Linked DNA regions of Sus scrofa. The protein of the gene in region 1 interacts with the protein of each later gene in a pairwise test. Links are inferred from orthologs where the notes say so. Each region holds a gene or a part of one and is shown in the gene's direction. Other genes may lie near its edges.

Region 1 (5,063 bases):
TGGCAACGCCGGACCCTTAACCCACTGAGCAAGGGCAGGGACCGAACCCGCAACCTCATGGTTCCTAGTGGGATTCGTTAACCGCTGCACCGCGATGGGAACGCCCTCAATGTCCTATTTCTTGATCATTGAGATTACATCCCAGGCTTGTGCTTTGGAAACATTCTTTAAGCTGCACACATGTGTTTTAGGTGCTCTTTTGGGCATCTGATATATCCTGCAATGAAAAACAAAAGAACAAACATTGTGATTGCCCCTGGGGATGGGTCTGGAGGCAGGAGGATGTTAAGAGGGGCTTCTAGAGATGAGGCAAGAGGGAAAAGGCAGAGAGGAGGGACAGAGAAGACTAACTCTGAGGTCCCAGAAGCCAAGAATTGAGCAGGAGATCCAGCCCCCAGGGAGACAGACCAAGGTTGGGGACCTTGGCAGGTCTTTCACCTCCTTCTCTGCGCTAGAAAAGGGTCCTTGCCTGCTGGTCGTAGTCAGATGTAGCTGCACATCTGAATCAACGCAGAGATACTGACCATCCACCAGCCAGCAGAGTAAATCCAGTGCATGGGCAGAGTTGGTGAATGGATATGAGCTGAGCCTGGGAATGGATGTTTCTGAGGCCAGATGGAGAAACTGAGTGAAGCCCTTGTTATCAACATGGAAAGGCGTTCTATGGGAGGTGGACATTTGAGTGGGTGAAAGAGAACAGGCTGAATAGAGGAATGGAGCAGATGCGAGTGGAGATGTGAAAGAGCGAAAGGTGGCAGGGAAGCCGGCCGGTGCCTCCATTTCCCCATCTTTCCCCAAAACATGCAACCAGCTTTTCTGGCCTTGCAAAGAGAGTTGATGGCACCCTGCAGCAATTCTGGTAGCCAAGGGGTTTAACCCTCAAGCCACCTGGGGGTGTGAGGACGTAGGACCCTGAGAAGGAGCAGTTGCCTTCCTACTACTTTGGGCACCAGCTCTGCGGCTGGGAACCTCCACAGAGCCCAGGCCCTTAGCTGCCAATCTGCTCCATTCACTGTCCAGAGGAGTCCCAGGCGCTGGGCTCCTACCGCATAGGCTGGATTCCCATCCCCCACCCTAGAAGCCGGCTGCTGCAGACAAGTCCACCCCCTCCCCCCCGGGCGCAGACAGTCACGCAGGCTCTCACTGCTCCTTGGTCTCTAGGATTGGTTCTGGCCTCGCTGGGAATGCCGACACTGAACGGGTGGGGGCCGAGGCTGAGACGAGAGTACAGGAGGTGAGGAGAAATCAGGGGGCGAAATCTGAGCTAGACCCCACTGATCGCAGATAAGAAACAAGGGGGTAGAGGGGTCGGAGCTCAGAGATGCGAAGCGTGGGGTACCGGGCTCTGATCACGGGGGTGGAGGACAAGCCAGATGCCCCTTTTCTTCCTTCCAAACGCTGCGTCTTCCGGGGACCCCCTTCAGTCCTCCCTGAGGCCCAGTGCTCTCCTCTCCCTCCCCGCCCCCAAATCCTGCACCCTCTGCGGATTGGTCCCCGGCCTGCCGGGGGGCGGGGCCCGAGGGCCCTGACGTCACCTGCCGAGGGGGGGCGGGAGGCTAGGGGAGGGGGGGGTGACGCGCCCCGGCTCAGCACCTCGGAGAGCTCCCTCCCCGGCCTTGTTTTGCTCCGGAATCGCCGCCTGGGGAGGGAGCCAGGGGGCCGGGCAACAGGCGCAGCGGCAAGAGGATGGCCTTGGAGGGGTCGAGGGGCCCCGGCGGGCAGAGGGCCCAGCCGTGATCTGTTGGGGGGGGCCGCGGCGCCGGGTGGGCAGCTGACGGCGGCAGCAGTGGCCACACATCTGGATGGAAGCGAGCTTTGTCCAGACCACCATGGCTCTGGGGTTGTCCTCCAAGAAAGCATCTTCCCGGAATGTGGCCGTGGAGCGTAGGAACCTGATCACCGTGTGCAGGTGGGCGCCGCCGCCGGGCGGGGGTGGGGTGGTCCGGGAGAGGCGTGGGGGTGGGCTGCCGAAACCCGGCCTGAGAGTGCCCGCGGGAGGATGGCTGCACAGCAGCCGCGGAGGAAAGGGAGGCAGCGCAAGGTTAAGAGAAGCGCATCCACTGTCCTCAGGGCCAGGCCTGGGGAGGTCTGATGCCTACCCCTCTAGGCCTAGCCAGGCCTCTGCTCAGCCTGCAGCCCGGGGGGTTAGGGGTGTTTAATTAGCACTGCAGCTTCCTGTAGAACCAGGAAGTGACATTGTGTGCGAGGGGGAGGGGTGAGGATGGCTGGCTCCCTTGCTGGGGGCGGGAGCTGGGTGGGCTGAGGAGAACCGAGGGGACAGGGGGTATCCCTCCGAGCATACCCTCACTCTCCCCGTCAGCCTGGCCTCTTTGGGGTGGGGCTTTCCGTGGAGATGCTGATGCTTAAATCTTGGAGCAGGGATGTACCTTCCTCCATGTCTGGGCAGCTGCAGCCTAGGGCAGGGTTAACTGGGCATGTAGGCAATGTCCCCGAATCAGTGCAGTGAAGAGTGTGGGGCACTAGCTCTGCTTTGGGAAGGACTGAGGGCCTGACCACAGAAGCCTGGGTCTCTTGGGTTGGCCGGGAGGAGGTTGGGAGGGCAGAGCCACTGGTCCCTGAGGGTGGGGCTGTCGCAGTGTTCAGAAGCCTTGCCCGCTTTCTTGAGGCTCAGGAAATGAACCTTCCCACTTCCCAGGCCTGCAGTGGTTCACCCTCCCGGCCCTGCCCTGAAGCCAGGAATGGCCAGTAGCTCAGCCCCTGTCCCTCGGCCCTCACCTGCCCTCATCTCTCCCCTTGGGTCCCCATGCCAGCTGCCTTCTCCATCTGCAACCTCCCCTCTCCCCTATGCCACCTCCAAGGGCAGGGTGCTCCCAGTGCAGAGCTCAGCTGTCTTCCCTGGCCAGCCCCACCTGCCTGCACACAGGCCTTGGCCCTGCTCTTTCCCCTAGGACTCAGTGCCCACCTGACGCCCAGGCTCCCATCTTCTACAGCTCCTTCCAGGGTTCTGGGCACACACGCAGCCACACTGCGTCTGTCTCACACCATCATATCCCTAGGGCCTAGCACAGTGCTGTGCACATCGGACCCCTGCAAAAACACCCAGAATATTGTAGCAGGAATGAGTGCAGCAATGGCCCAGCCCAAATGCAAACCTCTGCCTCTATGCTCACCCTCAAACCCTGTCGGCTGGTGTAAATAAAGATGGCCCTAGGTTCAAGCTCTTACTTTAACAGTTATTAGCTGTGCAAACTTGGGGAAGTCTCCTAACCACTCTGGGCCTTGGGCGCTTCATCCCCATTGTAACATTGTAACAGCCCCACCAAGGAATGGTAATGACAGAAAGCCCAGAGGAGCCTAGCCCCGTAGCCTCATGCCGAGGACATCCTTCCTGGCCCTCTCCTCTCTCTTCAACACCTAGGTTCCTCTCCTTTCTCTTGCCTGCCAGGACACCTGGGCCTCTTGAGGGTGTGGGGAAGCAGGGAACTCCCCTTGGCCTAGGCTGGAGAAGCAGAGGCTCTGGTGGATTGGAAGTGGGCTCAGAGCTGGGGTGTGAGGGATGGAGTTTTGCCGGGGGGGATCGGAAGCATGACAAAGGCTCAGAAACCTCTCAGGCCCCTGCTGCCTCATCCTTGTCATGTGGTTTGCCTCCAGCTCCCAGAACAGTTCCCTTTAGCAGGCCAAGGACTCCCCTGGGCCCTGGCTGCCCTGTCTCCATGGCAACCTGCAGCAGCCACTGCACCTCCTAACAGGGAACACACCACAGGGCTCCCGGGGGCGATGACCAGTTCTGCAGCACCCCTGAGGGCAGATGGCAGATGGCTGCCATGCTGAAACCGGCTGCAGGCCCCCACTGAGGTCTGACCCAAAAGACCAGAAGAAATCACGGGGGAGGGGCTGCACAATGAAGCCCAGATAATGCCTTAAACTCAGGCTTCCTCTGGCCATCCCGTTAAAGGCCCGGCTCCTCACCACCCCTGGCCAATGACCTGTACACTCACCTTCCAGATATGTCTTGGGATCTGAACCAAATTTTGATAAGACAAATACTATTATTCTTGTCTGCATTTGGGAAAATGGGCCTTGGAGAGATTAAATGACTTGTCCAAGGCCACATCGGTATCACAAGGACACAGGATTTGTTCACCCAGGCTGCCTCTCCCTAGTGCAACCCAGCACTGACCTGGCTCTGATCTCAGGCCAGACTAACTCCAAGCCCAAAGGGAAGGGAGGGAGGTCCTTGGGCTTAGTCCAAGAGCCCCAGAGGCCAGTGCTCAAGGGCTGGAGCCTGCTGAGTAGAGGACAGAGGTTGGAAGAGGGAGGGGCTGCTCAGGGGCCTCTACTGAGCAGCCACCAGGAGGCCACAGATGTAGCAGAAAGAGCGAGGGCTTTGGAATCAGCCCTACCTGTTGACTCTCCACAGGCTGCATGACTTTGAACAGATCACTCAAGCTCTTGGACCCTCAGCTACCGGGCCTGTAACATGGGGATGTGGGTGATAATGAGGAGACCTTCCTCCCAGGTCTGCCGTGGGGATGGATGAGATACCCAGGCAGAGTGCTTGGCACATTGCAGGGCTTGATGAGCTTAGAAAAAAAAGGGACAGTTCCAAGCAGCCCCTGCATCCCTGGATACCTCGCCCCTGCTGTGCCACCCACAGTGGGACAATAACGGGGCGTTGGGAGCCTCGTCCTCACCCCTGCCCCACCCCGCTGCAGCAATGGCAGGTGGTGACTGCAGGCGTGGGGACTGCAGAGGAGGCCGGAGCTCCAAGCAGGACTGGAAAGAGGGATGGGGGCTGCTGGGCTCCAGTCCCTCAGCCCCATGGGCGTCCCTTGGCTTCCTTCCTCGCTGAGAAGCCAGGTGTTCGGGCCCCCAAGCCCCTTCCAGAGATCTGCTGCCAGTGCCCCCTCCCACCCACTGTGTGTGTCAGACCCACACCCTGCATGTCCCTCTGCCTAGCTCCGCATCGCTTGGTTCTGGGCAGCTGGTGTGTGGGTGGCCGAGCTAGGAAGGAAAAGGGGGAAGGGGGGGCATCCGTGTGCTAGAAGCCCACCTGGCCGCCCAGGCATGCACACGCTCCATGTGCTCAGCGCCAACTCACA
Region 2 (3,460 bases), on another chromosome or scaffold:
ACCTCCCGTGATTGTGAGCCCAGCCCAGTCTAGCGAACTCCCGCCCCAAAGCAAAGACGTTTTCTAAAGGCAAGCCCGGGCATTCCCCCACCCGAGTGAGATGAATTCATAGTGGCCCATTTCCACATCCTAGCCCCTCCCCCACCCTGCTAAAACAAACAAACAAACAGAAAAACCACCAAACTTGGAAACTTTGCTGTTTCTTGAAGACCAAGAACTGTAGCCAGCTCCCTTCAACCGACTGTCGTGACTGGGCACCAAGAAGTTAGATTCTCTCCAATACACCAACAAAGGACTATATTTAGCTCTGAGATCTCCGCCTAAATTCCTTATTTTTTTCACTCTTAGCTTCAAAACGACTAGGATGGGGAAGTGGGAGGAAGGGGGCGGGGAGCAGCAGAGAAAGAACAGCTGTGCCTCCGCCTCTCAACTCAATCTCTATAAATAACCAATCACGAGCGGAGTCTACTTTTTAGCCAATGAAGCAGCCCAAACTGATAAGATCTTGGCAGTAGCCAATGGGAGAGCATTTGAGGGTGTGAGATTTGCGCCCCGGGACCAATGGGTCCAGAGTCTGGGAGAGGTAATTTGAGCTAGAGTGTGGGTGTGTGGTGCACAAGCTTCCTACTTCCAAGCCCCCAAACCTGCTCTGTGCACTGAGCATGCCCTGACTAGCTGCGGGCGCCACCGCCGCTTTGGATAGGACTGTAATCCGCTCTCCAGATTTTGGCCCCAGCTGACTGGGGCGGGGGAGGGGGCGAGTGGGGGGGCGGGGTGGCCCGCGGAACCCTAGCCCGAAGACAGCTCTGGTTAGTAGAGGCAGCCCTTTCCCTAGTCGCAACAGGGTTTCAGACCCAGCATTCCCGTTTTCTTTGTCCCAGAGATGAAAGTGCGGGAGAGTAGGCCAGAGAAGGTCGGGTAGAAAGAGCTGCGCCTTGGGTAGGGGAAGATGGTCTTCCCGCCAAACACCCAAACGTCCTTTGGGTCTCAATCCCGGGAGACACACCCTCCGGGGGTCTGGGAAGTGGGATCTACGGGCTCTGAATGATGCGAGGCAAGAGCCCAATCCTCCCTATTCCCAGGGAGGAGTGAGGGGGTGGCTGCCGCACCCACTCGCTTCTCGAAGAGCCTGAGCCCCTATGTATGAACCCAGAGCGGCGAAAGAAGGCTGCCTCCAACCTCCCACTGGAGCTCTCCCAGCCCGCCACAAACACCTACACATCCCGGCACATTTGTCCTCTTGCTGGGAGACCAGAGCCTCCGGCGAATCCGCTAGTCCCGACTCAAATCGCGAGCCCCACCCACAACCCCGCCTCCGCCCGGCTCCCTGGAAAACCAGGAGCAGCGGATCCGGCGGGAGCGGCCGGCGGCGGCGCACTGGGCATGCTCGTCCGGGCGGGGAGGGCCGGGCTGCGCGCGGCGAGTAGGAAGCCCTCGCCCCGCGGAGGCTGAGGAAGAGAGCTCCATGGGCCGCGGCGGTGGGCGCACGCTCTGCGGGGACTCATGCCACGCGCGTCCCGGCCCGACGCGCAATTAGCTGCCGCCTCCGCAGCCCGCTACCTCCGCCGCCTCCTCGCCCTTCTGGGCTGCCGCGACGAGAAGCTGCAGCCTTCGCTTTGCACAGGCTGCCGGCATTGTCCTCCGGTTCCGCCGCCCAGGCTGCCGCTGCCGCTGCCGCCGCGGGCTGCTGCGGGGCCCCGGACCTGCGCCCCAGGGACGCGCTGCCGCTGCCGGCCGGCCCGGCGCCCGGCCCCCGCTCGGTGATTTCCGCGCTCTGCGCTCCTCGGCCATTTCGCTCCTGAGTTTTTCCTGCGGAGCTGAGGAAGGGTAGAAGTCCAGCCGCCAAGCCCAGCCTTACTACGGCGCGCAGCCCCGACGGGCGAGCGCCGACGGAGCCATGAGAGAGTACAAAGTGGTGGTGCTAGGCTCGGGCGGCGTGGGCAAGTCCGCGCTCACCGTGCAGTTCGTGACCGGCTCCTTCATCGAGAAGTACGACCCCACCATCGAGGACTTCTACCGCAAGGAGATCGAGGTGGACTCGTCGCCGTCCGTGCTGGAGATCCTGGACACGGCCGGCACGGAGCAGTTCGCGTCCATGCGGGACCTGTACATCAAGAACGGCCAGGGTTTCATCCTCGTCTACAGCCTCGTTAACCAGCAGAGCTTCCAGGACATCAAGCCTATGCGGGACCAGATCATCCGCGTAAAGCGGTACGAGAGAGTGCCCATGATCCTGGTGGGCAACAAGGTGGACTTGGAGGGCGAGCGCGAGGTCTCTTACGGCGAGGGCAAGGCCCTGGCCGAGGAGTGGAGCTGCCCCTTCATGGAGACATCGGCCAAAAACAAAGCCTCGGTGGACGAGCTGTTTGCCGAGATCGTGCGGCAGATGAACTACGCGGCGCAGCCCAACGGAGACGAGGGCTGCTGCTCGGCCTGCGTGATCCTCTGAGGCGCCCGCGGCTGCCGCGCGCCGGCCGAGCTCTGCGCACAAAAGCCAAACGCACCCGACTCTAAATGTGATTTCTCTTCTTGCTTTGAGATTGGAGACGACTTTGCATCGGCCGGGGTGTCCCGGGAGCCCGGCTGGCCCCCGTGGCCATGTCCCCTGCCTCTGCCCCGTGTCCGAGGGGGTGTGCCGTTCTGACCATCCGAGACCCGATGGAAATGTGGCTCTTTGCGGCATGTACGTTTCTCATTGATTTTGGTTGACGCGTTATTTCCCCATTGACGCAGCCGTTGGGGCGCTGTATTGGCAGCTTGACACCGGCAAGCGAAAGTTTCAGCCTGGAGAAAAAAAAAAAAAAAAAAATGGGGTGGGGGAGGAAGAGGACGGGGAGAAGGTTGGAAAGGGGGAGTTTTTTGTTTTTGTTTTTCTGTCCAAAACCGTTTTTCTCGTTCCAAGTTTTAAATACTCGGAAGGAAGTCCGGGAGAACCAAATGAAGGAGCAGGAGGAGAGGAAAAAACTTTTGTTTTTTTTCCTCGTTTTCCAGGAGTAGCTGGAAATTAAGATCGGGTTCCTTTTCTGCCAGCTTGGAAGGGCAACCCCGTGACTGATTATGATTCTGAGGATGTCTATGCAAAGTTGGATTCTTGTTACAGTGTATCCAATCTGAAGTATTGCACATCTGAACTGGGACTGTTAACACTGATGCCAATACAGTGTGGGGTGCCAGAATGTGTCTGCTGATATTTGTGGAAAAAAAAAATCTATTTTTGTTTACCTACTGTATCAAAGGGGAGTCTGGGGGAGAACGGTAGTATTTTTTTTTATCAGCTGTGAAAAAAAATGTTACAGATCTGCACATTTTTGTGTGTACTGTTGTGTGTGTGTGTGTTTTTAGATTTAGCTTTTTGTTCTTATTGGTTGGCAGTAACAGGTTTTGATGACTAGCTCTTTAAAACACAGTACAAAGACTTCACAAATGTGATTCAGGGCCCCCAGCACCCCTGTGTCTGCAG
Region 3 (4,446 bases), on another chromosome or scaffold:
TCATCTATTGATGAACATTTAGATTACTTCTGGGTTTGTCTATTTCAAATAAAGTTGTGAGTATTCATGTACAAGTTTTTGTCAACATATAATAAGAACCAGTAGTTTCATGATTATGTTTCAAATTTTAATTTGCAAATTTAGTCTCTGCCATTTGCTTGTTCTGAGTTTCCTAAATGTTTTTTTAGTACATTTGAGTTAATTACTGCCATCAAAGGAAGAATCTCCATATAGGCAGAGTCTGAATTAGGTATGGTTTTGGTCCTCATAGTTTAGGCAGCCTGCAGTATTCTGATATTATCATTTCTATTCTCATTATCATTTTGTCACATTTCCTAAGCTTTCATTATGTATCAGTTGATTTTGTAATCTTTTTACATGTTTTATGTCATTTAAATTGTATAACTGAGGTAGATTCTCTTACTTTCCCCATTTTATAGATGAGGGAGCTAAAGCACAGATAGTTTAGCTATTTTTAAGTGGTAGAACCAGAATTTTTGGTGGTTGTATTTTCAGTCTTGCCTGTACAATTTTATTTAACTTATAATTACAATATGTACTAATAGGGCTTTACAACTGTATCACCATGTAAGCGCTTCAGTGAAAAATCAAATTCAAAATTTTAACTTGAGTGCAGAAATGTATTCTCTCTGCAGTACCCTCACTTGCTTCTGCGGCTTTAGCACAGTTCAGTTATTATGTCCCCCTTTTTTTTTTTTTTTTTTGCCTTGTTTCGAAAGTTCTGCTTCTCTCAGTTTTGTTATTAACCCAGTTCTTGTAGGTATTTGGGTTTATAACATTCTCCCACCAGTGGCCAGAAGAGATAGGGTGGCCCTTATTCTTCCTTTTTCATAGTTTAAGACTTTAGTATGAAATAGCTTTCATGATTAGAAGTATAATTTTGGGCAAATTACACTCTCTATGCATCAATTCCCCCTCTTTAAAATGGGGATAAAAATTATTATTTCTCTCTATGCATCAATTCCCCCTCTTTAAAATGGGGATAAAAATTATTATTTATCTTTCAGGTTTTTAGGATTATATGAGAAAATGAATTTCTCTTGCTCAGTACACATACCTTTGATAATTAATTGTTAGACCTGCCCTTTTTTTCTTTCTTTCCATGAACTCCTCCATTTGTGTCATAATTTAGAAATTTTTTTGTTCTGGAAATAACTAATTTTTCTGAATTGTAATTGAGACCCACAAGACTTGATTTCTTCTTCTTCACTCCATGAATTTTTAGTAACAAATCGCCTCTGAATCTAACTTTGTTTGTTTTGGTTCCTAAAATTTGATTAGTTGTATATATAGATTATTTGAAATGGGTTACACTGAAACACTGGTGCTGTATCCTTTTAAGTTACTCCTTATTTTCTTATCTAGACTGAATATCAAAGACCTGAGAATTTTTAGTACATTAAGTTAAATGAAAGCTGTTTGAATCCATTTCATCAGGATGATCCAGATAAGGACTTATATATTGAGTTTGAGGAAGAGAACTACAGGTCTTACGGTGGGCTAGATGAATAGGTAGGGTATAAAATATGCATTGTCTTTTTTTCTCCAGAGTATTCAGAATATAACTAATTATGATTGCTTACACAGGTTCCAGCAACGGATAGAAATGCTTTGAGTTCACTCTGGGGAAAACTGGCCTCTGAAATCTTAATGCAAAATTGGGATGCAGCCATGGAAGACCTTACCCGACTAAAAGAGACCATAGATAATAATGTGAGTTACACATTTTCGGGGTAGTTTTCTGAAATTTCTTTGTATCCTTCTTTTTTTTTTTTTTTTTTTTTTTTTTTAGAGGAAAACACTGTGTACTTTAAAAAGGAAGGGAGAGAGACTAAACTAAAAATGTTGACCTGACGTAAAAATCATCATAGGTTAGTGAGTTGATAAGTTTCACTGAATCTCCTTGAAGGAAGCTGTCAAACTTCTTTTGGCTCTTAGAAAAAGTAACTTAATTTTCCTTTTTTGTTAGAGCTATAGTGCCTTTTTTTTAACTTGTGCCAGTGAAGATGAGACAGTACTGGTTAGTGTCACTCGTTAGTGAAAATCCCATGCAGGAGAGAGTTCCAGTTGTGGCGCAGCAGAAGCAAATCTGACTAGGAACCATGAGGTTTTGGGTTCAATCCCTGGCATCACTCAGTGGGTTAAGGATCCTGCATTGCCGTGAGCTGTGGTGTAGGTTGCAGATGTGGCTCAGATCTGGCATTGCTGTGGTTGTGGCGTAGGCCAGCAGCTGTAGCTCCAATTAGACCCTTAGCCTGGGAACCTCCATATGCTGCAGATGTGGCCCTAAAAAAGGGGGGGGGGGGCAAAAAATAAATAAAAAATGGCTTAGTGGACATTATTGAATCTCGTGTTTGAGGGGCAGAGAAATTTTGAATGTCAAGGGTCATGCAGAAAGTAGAATGGTCTAAGGGATTGGAATTCAATCATAACCTTAGAAGGTTCTCATTTTAACTGAAATTCTGAGGTCAGCAATGTTTATTCCCTTTCCTCTTTCTCATATAATATTTCCTGTGTATATATATTTTTAACCCTTTAGTCTGTGAGTTCTCCACTTCAGTCTCTTCAGCAGCGAACATGGCTCATTCACTGGTCTCTGTTTGTTTTCTTCAATCACCCCAAAGGACGTGATAACATTATCGATCTCTTCCTTTACCAGCCACAGTAAGTTATTTCATTGTATAATTTTGGCTTTAATTATATGAAATCAAATGCATTTTTTAAAAACTTTTAAGATAAACTTTTGTCCAGCATTTGAATTTATTGTCACATTTTTTTCCCCTCTTCATGTGGTAGATTTGCTTGTTAATTGAAAAAGCTTACATGTAACTCTTAAGTAAATTACTTGACAAAAGTATACTCTAAGCCCTTGAAAGTGCTATTTAAGTATTGTCCATGGGCCAGCAGCATCGGTATCATGCAGAATCTCAGGCCTTATATTAGAGAAACTAAATCAGAATCTGTAATGTAACAAGAACCCAGGTAACTCATATACATTAAAGCTTTAGAATTAAGGCTCTATGGCATATTATTTGAAAGGAAGATTTACATTCCAAAAGAATCCCTTTATATCATCTTTACTCCATCATTCAGCTTTTGTTGATAAGAAATTCACTGCTTTATGAACTAGACTGTTCTGTTAACTAGAAATCATTTTTAAAAATGTATTCTTTCAGCTGAGGAAGGTCAGTGCCTCTGAATCTTCTGCCCATTATTTCTTATTTCTTTGGTTGCAACAATGGAAAACAAGACTGCTCTATGAAAATAATTGAGATATGTGAGGATAATTTTACTTATCTTTCTTTCCTTCAGGCTAAATATCTCTGGTTTTATCAAATTGTATAGTAATGTAGTTTTTCAAATTCTTTAATATTTTGGCTGCTGTTCTAGATAATTGCCACGCCACTTTACCCACAGCCTTCTTAAAATCTGAATCTTTAAAATTGAAAGCTTCTTCTAGGATTTTTGCTCCTATGTCCAGTACATACTGCAAGCCCAGGCTTGCAGTAACATAGTTTAACAATTGGTTCTTAATAGGACTTATTGAATATATCGTTGACTAAATTTCACATGAACACTTAGAGCCATATTTTTGCTCTTTTTAACCCAAATGAAGACAGAGATCCTATTACATTTCACTTGATTTTGTTTATTGCTATTTGTCAAATTAAGATTTGATTTTAACATTTTTTTCCTAAAATGCATATATATTTACAAAAGTAAAGTTTAGGAATAGACGGAATAGCTTATTTTTAATTTTTTTAGTAATTTTTTAAGTCTTGAAAATAAGGTAATAATACTTTAGCAATATTTTTACATAAGTTGATGAAATATAATCATTTAAACCAAGTCACTTTAATAAGCATGTTCTTTAAGTGCTCATTTTAGTAAGATTTTTAAGACTAAAATATTTGACCTGTTCAGGTAAGTTGTTAGCATAACCATGAAGACTTTGAATTTAAGAGAAATTAAGTTATTGGTGATGATACAAAGGAAAAATACTTGCCAACCAAGAAGTGCCAGTAATTCTTTAATGTAGAAACAGGGAGCCATTCTTATTCTTAAATGGTGTAAATTGTGTTCTCTGCACTAAATGCTAAATGTTCTCCTCAGTCTGGCAAATAGAAGCACTTTCATTAGAAGTTTATTTTTGAAATAACATTATAACTGAAGTTTAGTACTAATGTATTTAGTCAGTATTTGCATGGCATACTGGTCCAGTTTGTTAAAACTGAGCATGAGCAGGAAGTTCCCTTGTGGCACAGCAGGATAAGGTATCCAGCATTGCCCCACCTGTGGCGCAAGTCACAGCTGCAGCATAGGTCTGGCTCCTAGCCAGGGAATTTCCACGTGCTGTTGATGTGCCCCCTGTCCCCCAAAACAAAAAACTGAACATGGGCAAAGAAGTTTTTGTAACAGAAAATT
Region 4 (4,912 bases), on another chromosome or scaffold:
TTTCTCCATCCTCACTGTAGGCCCCATTGCTTCTGGCTCCAACCGCTACACTGGGTTCCCAAGAGAACCTTGTCACCAGGTCCAGAGAGGACCAAGAGACTGCAGGTGTGTGGAGGCAGGAGGCCAGTGCTGTTGGGCCACACCTAGTGCAGTACCTGACCACTCACGCACTAGTGTGTCTGTCTTCCTTTTTCGAACCGCACTCCTGGCATTTGGAACTTCCCAGGCTAGGGGTCAAATCGAAGCCACAGCTGCTGGCCCACATTGCAGCCACAGCAATGCAGGATCCGAGCCCTGTCTGCGACCTACACCACAGCTCATGGCAACGCTGGGTCCTTAACCCACTGAGCAAGGCCAGGGGTCGAACCTGCAACCTCATGGTTCCTAGTCGGATTCGTTTCCACTGCACCATGATGGGAGCTCCATAAATGCTGTTGAAGAGACAACAGGGTGGGGGATCCAGAGAGCCCTCTGGTGTCAGGGGCCCAATTCTGTGCTAGATGCACCGCTGTGGAGGAGCTGCCTCCTCTCTCTTCATCTCCATAAAGGAAGGTGGGATGTGGCAGACAGCTGTGTGCTGTTCCTGGCAATTGCGCCCCCTCTGGCTGCAGGACCCGGGTTTCCTTCTGTGCAGACCCAGGTGCCATGGCCCTGTCCCCAGCCCCAGTCTGGCTCTGACTGGCTACAGCCATAAACTTTTCCCTCTGGCTAGTCACTGCAGGAGATGGGAAGCATCCCAGGCAGGGGCAATGGAAAACACTGTTTCCAGGGGGTTTCAGAAGAGGAAATTCTTCCTTTCCTGGACAGTGTGCTATTGTAGCCCACAGAGGAGACATGCTGGCGATGCCGGCTTGGGGGGTAGGAGCAGGGGAGCACGGTTATCATGTGGCCTGTGGGGATGAGAGACAGGTTTAGTTGGCACTGCTTGAGCTGCAGGATTAAGTCTCTTCAGGAGTGAAAGCCAATGGCACCCTCCGGGTTTGGGGTTTCAGTCATGGGCGCAGTCACTGGCAGCTCCTGTTCTCCCGCACCCATCCAGGCGCCTACCCTGCCATCTCCTCTCCACCCTGCCCTCGCCCGGTCTTTTCCACATCCTCCCAGGTTCTTCCACTAATCTCGGTGGAAGTTTGGGAAAACTTTAGTAATAACGATTACCGCATCGGACGCGATTACAACACTGCTGTCCGGTGACGTAAAAATTCATTGATCCTGGGAGCGCCTGGTACAACCGATGAGGAAATGAAGTCAAACCCGTCGATGGCTCCCCGCTGTTTCCAGGAGAAATGGCTGGAAACTACCCTTTCTTTTCTGTATGGACTCGACTTGTAGGCGAGAACTTTGAGAATATGGCATTAACACGTGTGCCCCAAAACCTGGTCTCAGTAAAGGCTAGAGAGTAATGACCGCGCCGGCTGCCTCGAAGACCTCCGACACCGCCACCCAAGCTCTGGACCCCTGCCCTGCAGGACGCAGTCCCGGCGGTAGGAGAGCCGCCCCCACTCCCACTGCCCGGCAAGGGCCCTGCCCTCCCCTGGGCCCCCGCGGGACCCCCCAGAAGCCTGCGGCTGCAGCGGAACCCTCGCGACCTCACGGACCCCGGCACCAGCTGTGCGCCAGGACCGGAACCGGCGTCTACGGCTAGTACTTCCGGGTCGCGGCCGCGGCCTCGCTAGGGCGCCGCGGGGCCTCCTGGGTAACGTGCCCGGCCCCGCCCGCTCCGGTTCCGGCGTCGGGTGAGACGCTGACGGGCAGGCGGTACAGCCAATCGCCACAAGGCGGGTTCGGGCCGCCCACCAGTCGAACGAATGGTACGCGGCGGGGCGGGGCGGTCGCGGCCGTAGAGCGTCGCGAGGAGCCGCCCTACGGGGAAGGAGCCCGAGAAGGAGTCGGCGGCACAAAATGGCGGCGGCGACGGGGACGGCCGGGACCGGGGCCGGGGCTCCGGGCTCGGCGGCCCCCGCGGCAGCGGCCGGCACGCCGGGCTCGGGCAGCGCAGCCCCGGGATCGCAGGGGGTGCTGATCGGGGACCGGCTGTACTCTGGGGTGCTCATCACCCTGGAGAACTGCCTCCTGCCTGACGACAAGCTGCGCTTCACTCCGTCCATGTCGAGTGGCCTCGACACCGACACCGAGACCGACCTCCGCGTGGTGGGCTGCGAGCTCATCCAGGCGGCCGGCATCCTGCTCCGCCTGCCGCAGGTGAGGGAGCGGCCGCGAGCCTCGGGCCGAGGTAACCGCCGTGCCGGCGCCGGGGGAGGCGGCGGGGCCCTTTGTTGGCGGCAGGGCCGGGCGGCTCGGCGCCGACGTCCGACCCCAAGCCCGCTCCTAATTCCCACCCGGGCCCCGGGCCCAGCGCGTCCCGGAGGTAGTGAGGGAGGCAAAGCAGCGGGACACGTTTTAGTTTTTGGTTGTCAGGAGTCTCAGGAAACTCAGTGACTTAAGTATGAAACACTCAGAGTAGGCGTTTGGAAAGGATGGAAACTTTTCTCTTCTGTAGGTGGCCATGGCTACAGGGCAGGTGTTGTTCCAGCGGTTCTTTTATACCAAGTCCTTTGTGAAGCATTCCATGGAGGTAAGACCTCCTCCTCGTCTGTCTGTCCCGCAGAAAGGGGGGAACCGGAAACCTGGGTTTGTTGTTTTGCCGCGTTGCTCAGTGGAGTGAGTCCTTGTCTTCCACCACCTGCAGCGCTGTCCTTAAAGGCTTGGGGAGCCCCCTGTGCGGTAGATAGGTGGCCTTTTTCTCCCGGTACCCCTCTTTGCTCTCAGCTGGTTTTAAGCTGTGGGAGGTGTCGCCGCTGGAGCAGACGTCCGTGTTGCGTTGCTTCCATTTCAGCATGTGTCAATGGCCTGTGTTCACCTGGCCTCCAAGATAGAGGAAGCTCCCAGAAGGATCCGAGACGTCATCAATGTGTTTCACCGGCTTCGACACCTGAGGGAGAAAAGGTGCGTCCGAGTTAGAGCTGTTGCAGGTGTGCGTGTGCTCGTTCTCGCGGCTGTCCAGTTACACGGATGTTTCTGAAACAAGATTCAGGATGTAAGCTTCTACTTGCTCGCTTTTCTTTGTCATGGCCGCACCTGCGGCACATGTAAGTCCCAGGTTAGGGGGCAGATCAGAGCTGCAGCTGCCAGCCGTCGGCACAGCTGCAGAAACATTGGATCCAAGCCACATCGCAACCTACACTGCAGCTCTGGGCATCTCTGGACCCTTAACCCACTGAGTGGGGCCAGGGGTTGAATCTGTGTCCTCATGGACAGTGTCGGGTTCTTAACCAGCTGAGCCCCAGCGGGCATTCTCGGGGTTGTGAGGTTTAAACTTGTGCCCAGAGGAGCCCTGGTGCAGAGGGGGCCGACCCATACTGTTTAGTGAGTGAAGAGTGGTCAGGGAAGTGTGGCAGTCGTCTTTCTGGCATCGGTTTCCTGGTGTGCCCCCGTCAGTCTCTGAATGCTCCAGAGCTGGCTTGTCACCCTCAACACTGTTTCCATTTTTGGGTGGGTGATGCTTTGTGGGGGGCTGTCCTGTGCGTTGTAGGGTGTCTAGAAGCATCCTTGGCCAGGCCTTCCAACCTCCAGCCAATAAAACAGCCTCTGCTATTGAAATGCTGTACTCTGCTGGTCCTTTGCTTTCCCATTCACTTGTGATGCACATGCGTCTTGAGCAGGACGAACCAGGAGCAGTCCTTGGGTGAGGAGCTTGTGAGACCCTCCAATATGTTCAGTGGCATTTCTCAGTCAAACACAGGGAGAGAAGTTCACACTGGCACAGTGGGTTAAGAGTCCGACCGCAGCAGCTCAGCTCACTGCGGAGGCGAGGTTCAAACCCTGGTCCTGGTGCAGCGGGTTAAAGGATCCAGTGTTGCAGCTGCGACTTGGATCCATTCCCCATCCCGGGAATTCACAAGTGCTGTGGGCACGGCCATTAAAACAAAACAAAATGGAAAGAAAACGGGAGAGCCTTCCTGAGAAGGGTAAGCTGGGTGGCGCTGGGGTTCGAGGAAGCCGGTAGTCTCGCTGGTTAAAGGAAGCCGACTCTGTTTCCGGGAGGCTGTCGGCGGCGGCCATCCTGGGTTGGACAGATTCTGTTGTATTTAATTCTCACTAGATGCGTGCTCTGTCTTTGTAGAAAACCTGTGCCTCTCCTGCTGGATCAAGATTACGTTAATTTAAAGAATCAAATCATAAAGGCGGAAAGGCGAGTCCTCAAGGAGCTGGGCTTCTGCGTGCACGTGAAGCACCCTCACAAGGTGGGTACGAGGCCCCGCTGCCGCCCCGTGTCACCCAGATTGGAAACGGAAGAGGAGTAACTGGGCCCCTGACTCCAGTGTCCCGTTTGCACTCTAACCTGGAAATAAGTTTTTCCGTGGTCTTGTGTTACGTTAATTTTAATGGCGTCTTTTTAAGAGCTTTGAGAACTGCATCTTGGGTTTGAGCTTTTCAAGATGGGAATGAACTTGTCAAAATGAGGTGTCACTCTGCATTTTTTTTTCTCAACAGCTGACTTTCTAAGTTGTTTTAGTGACAGTTAAACCAATTTTATCATTGATTTCCACTGCTGTCAGCTTCTGCTGTACAGCGGAGTGACCTAGTCCCGCCTGCACACCTGCATCCCTTTGCTCGTGTTCCTTCGCATCACGGTCCATCACGAGTGATGGAACTAATTCCCCGTGCTGTCCAGCAGGACCCCATTGGCTTTAGTGGTAACCTGATTTCCTGTTACGGGGGAGTCGGGAGAATCCTGAGCCCTTTTCCTCAGGAGCGCAGCACACTCGCGGTCGAGCACGCAGTTCGTGCGCTCCTCCCACGTGACACACCGGCACAGCATGCTGGCTTCATCTTTTTTTTTCTTTTTGTCAACACAAAAGCGCTATTTTCTTTTCTTTCTTTCTTTCTTTTTCTTTTCTTTTTTTTTTTTTTT
Region 5 (5,084 bases), on another chromosome or scaffold:
TAACGTTGTAGGTGGGAGAGAGTGTTTAATTATGATCTAATGCCACAGAGAGAACAGTAAGTTTTAAAAGGGAGTTGTTAAAAATGTTTTAGGAGCCACGCATGGAGGACCCATGCAACTGCTGCAGTATGTCTCTTTAATGACCGGAAATTTTCTCACCCTCAAGACAAGAGTCCCTGTTTTCTCGATTGACCCACGATTCAGCCCACATCACTCAGCACTATTTCCGGGTCCGTCATTTAGGCAGAATGCCACCGAGACGACGTTAAAAGCGAAACCCATGGTTCTCGCCTCCAACACATCTTGTTCCCTTGCCAACGTAGGGTGCAACGACCTGTCCCTCAATCACTGACCCCTCCCAAACCCACCAGCCCTACCCCGGGTCTCCATTCCACCCACCCTTGGGGGCAAGGGAGTCGCGATTTCTGGTTGGCTCAGCTCAAGTCTCCGCCATCCGCCAGCTCACCTGCGGTTGGTTGGCAGAGCGTGCGTGGGAGGTGGGAGGGCTGAGCCTGCAACTAGGCTTTCCCCCCATTGGCTGATGGATGGGCATCACGTGGTATGAAGTGGCTCTCTATTGGCCGAGAATGGTACCATGGGTCCAGAGGCGTGCACTGGTTGGCTGGAACGACTCCCAGCTTCCTACTAGGTGCCCCGGCTGGCTGTTGCTATGAGCTGTCCCCAGGCCTTCTGGCTGCGCCTGGGGCTTCGCTCTCCCAGTTTTCCAAGCGCCCGTAGCTGACAGGGCGTGGGAAGAGCTCGACTTCCAGCAGACGCTGAAGAAAGGCGGGGCTGGGGGGAGGTGGGCGGGACTCCCGGCGACGTCACCGGGCGTGGGCCCGGCTTCCGCATGGTCGCTGGCCTTTGCCGCCTCTGGCAGTGGGCAGGATGAGGGCCTGTCACTTTTCCCTCTGTGTCTTGACGCTTAAAACAAAGCTTCACTTCGGTTTTATGCTCGTCCTTTAAACAAAGCCTTTTTTCGTTATGTTTATACAGGACAAAACCAAAGCTCACAGGCTGGGTGGTGTCTAGCAAGGCCCTCCTGCCAAGGCCTCCTTTTGGACCTTGCCGGTGTCTTCTTGTCACTCCCCGCCTCAAGTTAAAACCTAGAGACTGCTCTGGCCCCGCCAACATCGCGTCTCTGCCAAATTCTGAACTTGGCGTGCTCAGGCCGAAGCGGTTCCCGTCGCGGGCAGAAGAACCGCGCGTGCTCAGTACGCAGGATCCGCAGGGTTCGACGCGGCTTGCGGGGTGGGGTGTTGTTGGGTGGCCCAGGTGGTTGTTTATCTAAGCGCGGGCCGAGGCTTCCGCACGGCGCAGAGCCTCCCGGGAGCGCGCGAGGCCGGTCGCCTAGGCGACGGGGGAGCAAGGGCGGGGCTGCGCCACCGGGTCCCGCCCCGGGCCGCCGGGCCCCGCCCCCAGCAGCGCTGCGGCTGGGGCTCGGGCGCGCGCTCCGGCGCCGAGGGGAGCGGCGGCGGCGGCGGCGGCGGCGGGCGGGGAGCTGGGCGTGGAGGCGCGAGGGGCGGGGCGGGCGGCACTGCAGGCCCGCGTTTCGGGCGGCTCCGGCGGCTCCCTGGCTCCCACTCCCTGCTCGCCCTCAGTGCCTGCCGGCGCCCGCGGGGCCGCATTGCCGCCGGCTCGGCCCATGCCCAGGGCTGCTGCTCCCTCCGCCGGCGCCCGGGGGGCCGCGGCGGCCGTGAGGTGGGGGCAGCCGCGGGACGCGGCGGGGCCGGCCGCCGGCGCAGGGTTGGGGGGCGCAGCGCGGCGGGCGTAGGTCTATGTCGCGGGCAGCGGCGGCGGCGGCGGCCGCGGAGGGACGATGCGCGAGTACAAAGTGGTGGTGCTGGGCTCGGGCGGGGTCGGCAAATCCGCCCTGACCGTGCAGTTCGTGACCGGCACCTTCATCGAGAAATACGACCCCACCATCGAGGACTTCTACCGCAAGGAGATCGAGGTGGACTCGTCGCCGTCGGTGCTGGAGATCCTGGACACGGCGGGCACCGAGCAGTTCGCGTCCATGCGGGACCTGTACATCAAGAACGGCCAGGGCTTCATCCTCGTCTATAGCCTCGTCAACCAGCAGAGCTTCCAGGACATCAAGCCCATGCGGGACCAGATCATCCGAGTGAAGCGGTGAGAGGGCCGGGGGCGCGGGCAAGGGGCTTCGCGGTGCGGCCGGCAGCCCCTGTCCCGGGGCCAGAACTCCCTCCCGCGTGCTCTGGGGTGGCTGTGGGCAGGAGGAGCTGTCTAGGCAGGTGGCTCTGGGGTCTTAGGCTTTATCCTAAATTTTTAGCTGGTAGCATCCTCCTCGTCATCTTGAATCTCAAATTTGAGTGCTTTGTTTCACAACTCAAATTTGGCATCCGGTGAACCCACAGCACAGCTCTTTGTCTCTTGGATATTATTAGTAGCGGTTGTGCAGAACCCCAAAGGAAACAAAGTTTAAAACTTGCAGTGGGGGGAGAGGGGCGGGTAGGTTTCTGCTGGGAGGAGGCAGCTGTGCAAGTATAGCGGAGACATTTTCAGACGGAACAACAAAAAACCTCCCTTTGCAGCATTTGACAGCAAAAATTGCTTACACAAATGTGGTAAAAATGTCAAGTCCAATGGAAAGAGATCTTTCTCATTTCATAGAAGATTGAATGGTGGCAAGGCGTTTTACAAAAATGAACTCTTCACTTAAGATGAAACTTTAGAGACAGGTTATCAAATTATTTGCAGACCTGGCTCTGTGGGATTGAGAGAGTATTAGTATGTAGGAGCGCGAATGTACTATCACATTAAAGAATGTGGCTTAACTTTTTTTTTTTAATCTAGCCACTTTACCCCTCAGAAACAAAAAGAAAGGGAAAAAAAGAGGCATTCTTAAAAATAGAATGAGTTTCTTCAAAGGTGTGACTCAAATATTAGCTAATTTAAAGTTAAAGCAGATAAGCTCTTTCCTGTTACAAACTCTTTTCGCAAGTGTGCATTTTGGAAATATAACAGCCTAATGGCTTCTGCTATTTGTTTTATATTTTTTCCTATAATTTCTAGCATCAAAAAATGCAATAGTATCTCAGTTCAGAGTTTTAGCAAATTTTTCTAATTACCATTTAATTACACATTACTGTTTTGTCTGATTCTTACTATTAGTTAATAATTGCCAATAATTTTGATTCAGCATAATTTTGCTTTTCTTTCCCAGTTGTACCAGTAACCCTAAATTTGTAGACAGTTGCAAAAGCTAGTTATAAGTGTTATCATAGACATAATCTCATTTTTAGTCAGTTTGAGTCTACTCATTTTGAAAGAGCAAATACCAAGTCAGGTGCACGCAAGCTTTGCTCAAAAATTCATTACAAGAGGCGGATTTTTAATGCCACATAGGAGATCAAAGGGGAGGTCCTCTCCCCTCCTCCTTTAACTCATTGAATATGCCCTTTAATAGCTAAACTAAAATTTCGTGTGTTATTTTATATGTTAGATTTCAAGCTGGAATACAGTGAATGTTTTCATGGCCTCTGACAATGTCCTAAGATCTGTGAATCTGACAGCTTTTTACTTTTTCAGTCTCATTTCTTAAAGTTAATTGCTATAGTTAACATAGGAACCCTTTTGGTGTTAAATTTATTAAGTATATGATATTTAAGAGGCTGTATTTAAATGACTCACATCTTTAATTCCCCTCATACTGTTTTAAAAAACAAAAAACCTTTAGAACAGGGCAATCTACCACATTGTCACATGTCAATCTTAGGCCAAGTACATACATCAAATAGTAAAGTAAACGCCCCAACTGCTCCACCCTTTGTATTTAAACATATCACAGATAATTCCTGCGTTGATAAAGTCACAAGCCCAGGGCAAACTTCTTGGCACAAACTTACAGGACAGAATATGACAGAATGTTATTGGATAGTATAGTCCACATGATTTTGTAGTTTACTAGAGGTTACCAAGAATGAGTTAGTCTGAACTTAGTGTGCTAGAACGATTTATTTGTTTGCACTGTGACCCAGGAAGAAAAAGAAGAATAAAATTCTCCTTGCCCAAATGTCATTGTACTCACTAGTCTCAGTTGCCGATGTGTACAGTTGAAAAGCTCAGCTGAAGTGGACTTCGTAAACTCTTTTCACTGGAATCATCCATTGTGCCCATAAGTACCAGTTGGGCCCTTTGTGTCCTGCTGTTTTTTATCTCACCTTAACTTCATCATCTGGCCTCCCATCCTATAGCACATTGTAAACAGCTTAACACTGAAGGAGAGAGGGAATCGGTGTGTATGACAGTATACATTATGCTAAGGCGGCATTCAGTATGATGGGTCTTTAACTTCTCCCACTCAAAGCGAATAAAACATGATTTTCAAACAAGCGGATTTTCCACTCTTTTGGGGAATGAATTTTTAAATTAATGAGTTGCCGCAGCAGGTATTCAGTACTTGTTCCCTGGCCTCTGCCAGCTAGCTGCTTTGCATACTCTATACAACAGTTGTTTGGGATTATTTAATATCACCATAATGCCAATGACATAAGCGAAGTGCAGAGAGGTTTGGTATTTTGCCCAAAACTAGTCCTTGATGGAGAAGAGATTTAAATCAAGATCTGCATGACTCCATGTGCTCTTTCTTCTACATGAGGCTGCCTTTGAACTTGACATTTACTGGCAAATTCAGTGATCTAGCCTTTGGTCTAGGGCAGCACTCTTCAGTACGAATATAGCGTGGGCCACGTGTAATTTTTAAATGTCCAAGAGCTGATTTTTTATAAATGTGAAGCAGGTGAAATTAATTTTAGTAATGCATTTGAGTTAACCCATTCTATCTAAAATATTATCATTTTAACCTGTAATCAGTATTGAAAAATTGAGATATTTGCTTGGTTTTTCATACGAAAAGTTCAGAATCTAGTATTGAGTTTGCATTTACTGCACATAGACGTGCCACATTTCAGGTGCTCCACAACCCCGTGTGACTGCAGACGGTGGACAGTGCAGGTCTGAGGTGTACAGATGTTGGGAAAATGCTTGCTTCTGTAAAAGCTCCCTCTCCCTTGTTTGTGAAACGGAGTATAGTTCACCTCTCAGAGTCTTTGTTAGGATTA

The links.
Region 2: the proteins of RUNDC3A (region 1) and RAP2B interact in binary tests that used the Homo sapiens proteins (3 or more experiments, as listed by UniProt). The two-hybrid records come from large-scale screens. The link is inferred for Sus scrofa from reciprocal best matches to the Homo sapiens genes RUNDC3A and RAP2B.
Region 3: the proteins of RUNDC3A (region 1) and EIF3E interact in binary tests that used the Homo sapiens proteins (3 or more experiments, as listed by UniProt). The two-hybrid records come from large-scale screens. The link is inferred for Sus scrofa from reciprocal best matches to the Homo sapiens genes RUNDC3A and EIF3E.
Region 4: the proteins of RUNDC3A (region 1) and CCNL2 interact in binary tests that used the Homo sapiens proteins (3 or more experiments, as listed by UniProt). The two-hybrid records come from large-scale screens. The link is inferred for Sus scrofa from reciprocal best matches to the Homo sapiens genes RUNDC3A and CCNL2.
Region 5: the proteins of RUNDC3A (region 1) and RAP2A interact in binary tests that used the Homo sapiens proteins (3 or more experiments, as listed by UniProt). The link is inferred for Sus scrofa from reciprocal best matches to the Homo sapiens genes RUNDC3A and RAP2A.

What each region holds. Positions count from the first base shown.
Region 1 is NC_010454.4:18,926,253-18,931,315, reverse strand, and holds the start of RUNDC3A (RUN domain-containing protein 3A), read left to right. Parts: upstream 1-1,590; 5' UTR 1,591-1,802; coding exon of another isoform or gene 1,803-1,909; intron 1,910-5,063. UniProt on the Homo sapiens protein: May act as an effector of RAP2A in neuronal cells.
Region 2 is NC_010455.5:93,306,215-93,309,674, forward strand, and holds RAP2B (ras-related protein Rap-2a precursor), read left to right. Parts: upstream 1-1,897; coding exon 1,898-2,449; downstream 2,450-3,460. UniProt on the Homo sapiens protein: Small GTP-binding protein which cycles between a GDP-bound inactive and a GTP-bound active form. Involved in EGFR and CHRM3 signaling pathways through stimulation of PLCE1.
Region 3 is NC_010446.5:29,305,276-29,309,721, forward strand, and holds part of EIF3E (eukaryotic translation initiation factor 3 subunit E), read left to right. Parts: intron 1-1,608; coding exon 1,609-1,734; intron 1,735-2,560; coding exon 2,561-2,685; intron 2,686-4,446. UniProt on the Homo sapiens protein: Component of the eukaryotic translation initiation factor 3 (eIF-3) complex, which is required for several steps in the initiation of protein synthesis.
Region 4 is NC_010448.4:63,664,994-63,669,905, reverse strand, and holds the start of CCNL2 (cyclin-L2), read left to right. Parts: upstream 1-1,852; 5' UTR 1,853-1,899; coding exon 1,900-2,199; exon of another isoform or gene 2,200-2,230; intron 2,231-2,497; coding exon 2,498-2,572; intron 2,573-2,833; coding exon 2,834-2,943; intron 2,944-4,120; coding exon 4,121-4,241; intron 4,242-4,912. UniProt on the Homo sapiens protein: Involved in pre-mRNA splicing. May induce cell death, possibly by acting on the transcription and RNA processing of apoptosis-related factors.
Region 5 is NC_010453.5:66,677,439-66,682,522, forward strand, and holds the start of RAP2A (ras-related protein Rap-2a), read left to right. Parts: upstream 1-1,723; 5' UTR 1,724-1,819; coding exon 1,820-2,133; intron 2,134-5,084. UniProt on the Homo sapiens protein: Small GTP-binding protein which cycles between a GDP-bound inactive and a GTP-bound active form. In its active form interacts with and regulates several effectors including MAP4K4, MINK1 and TNIK.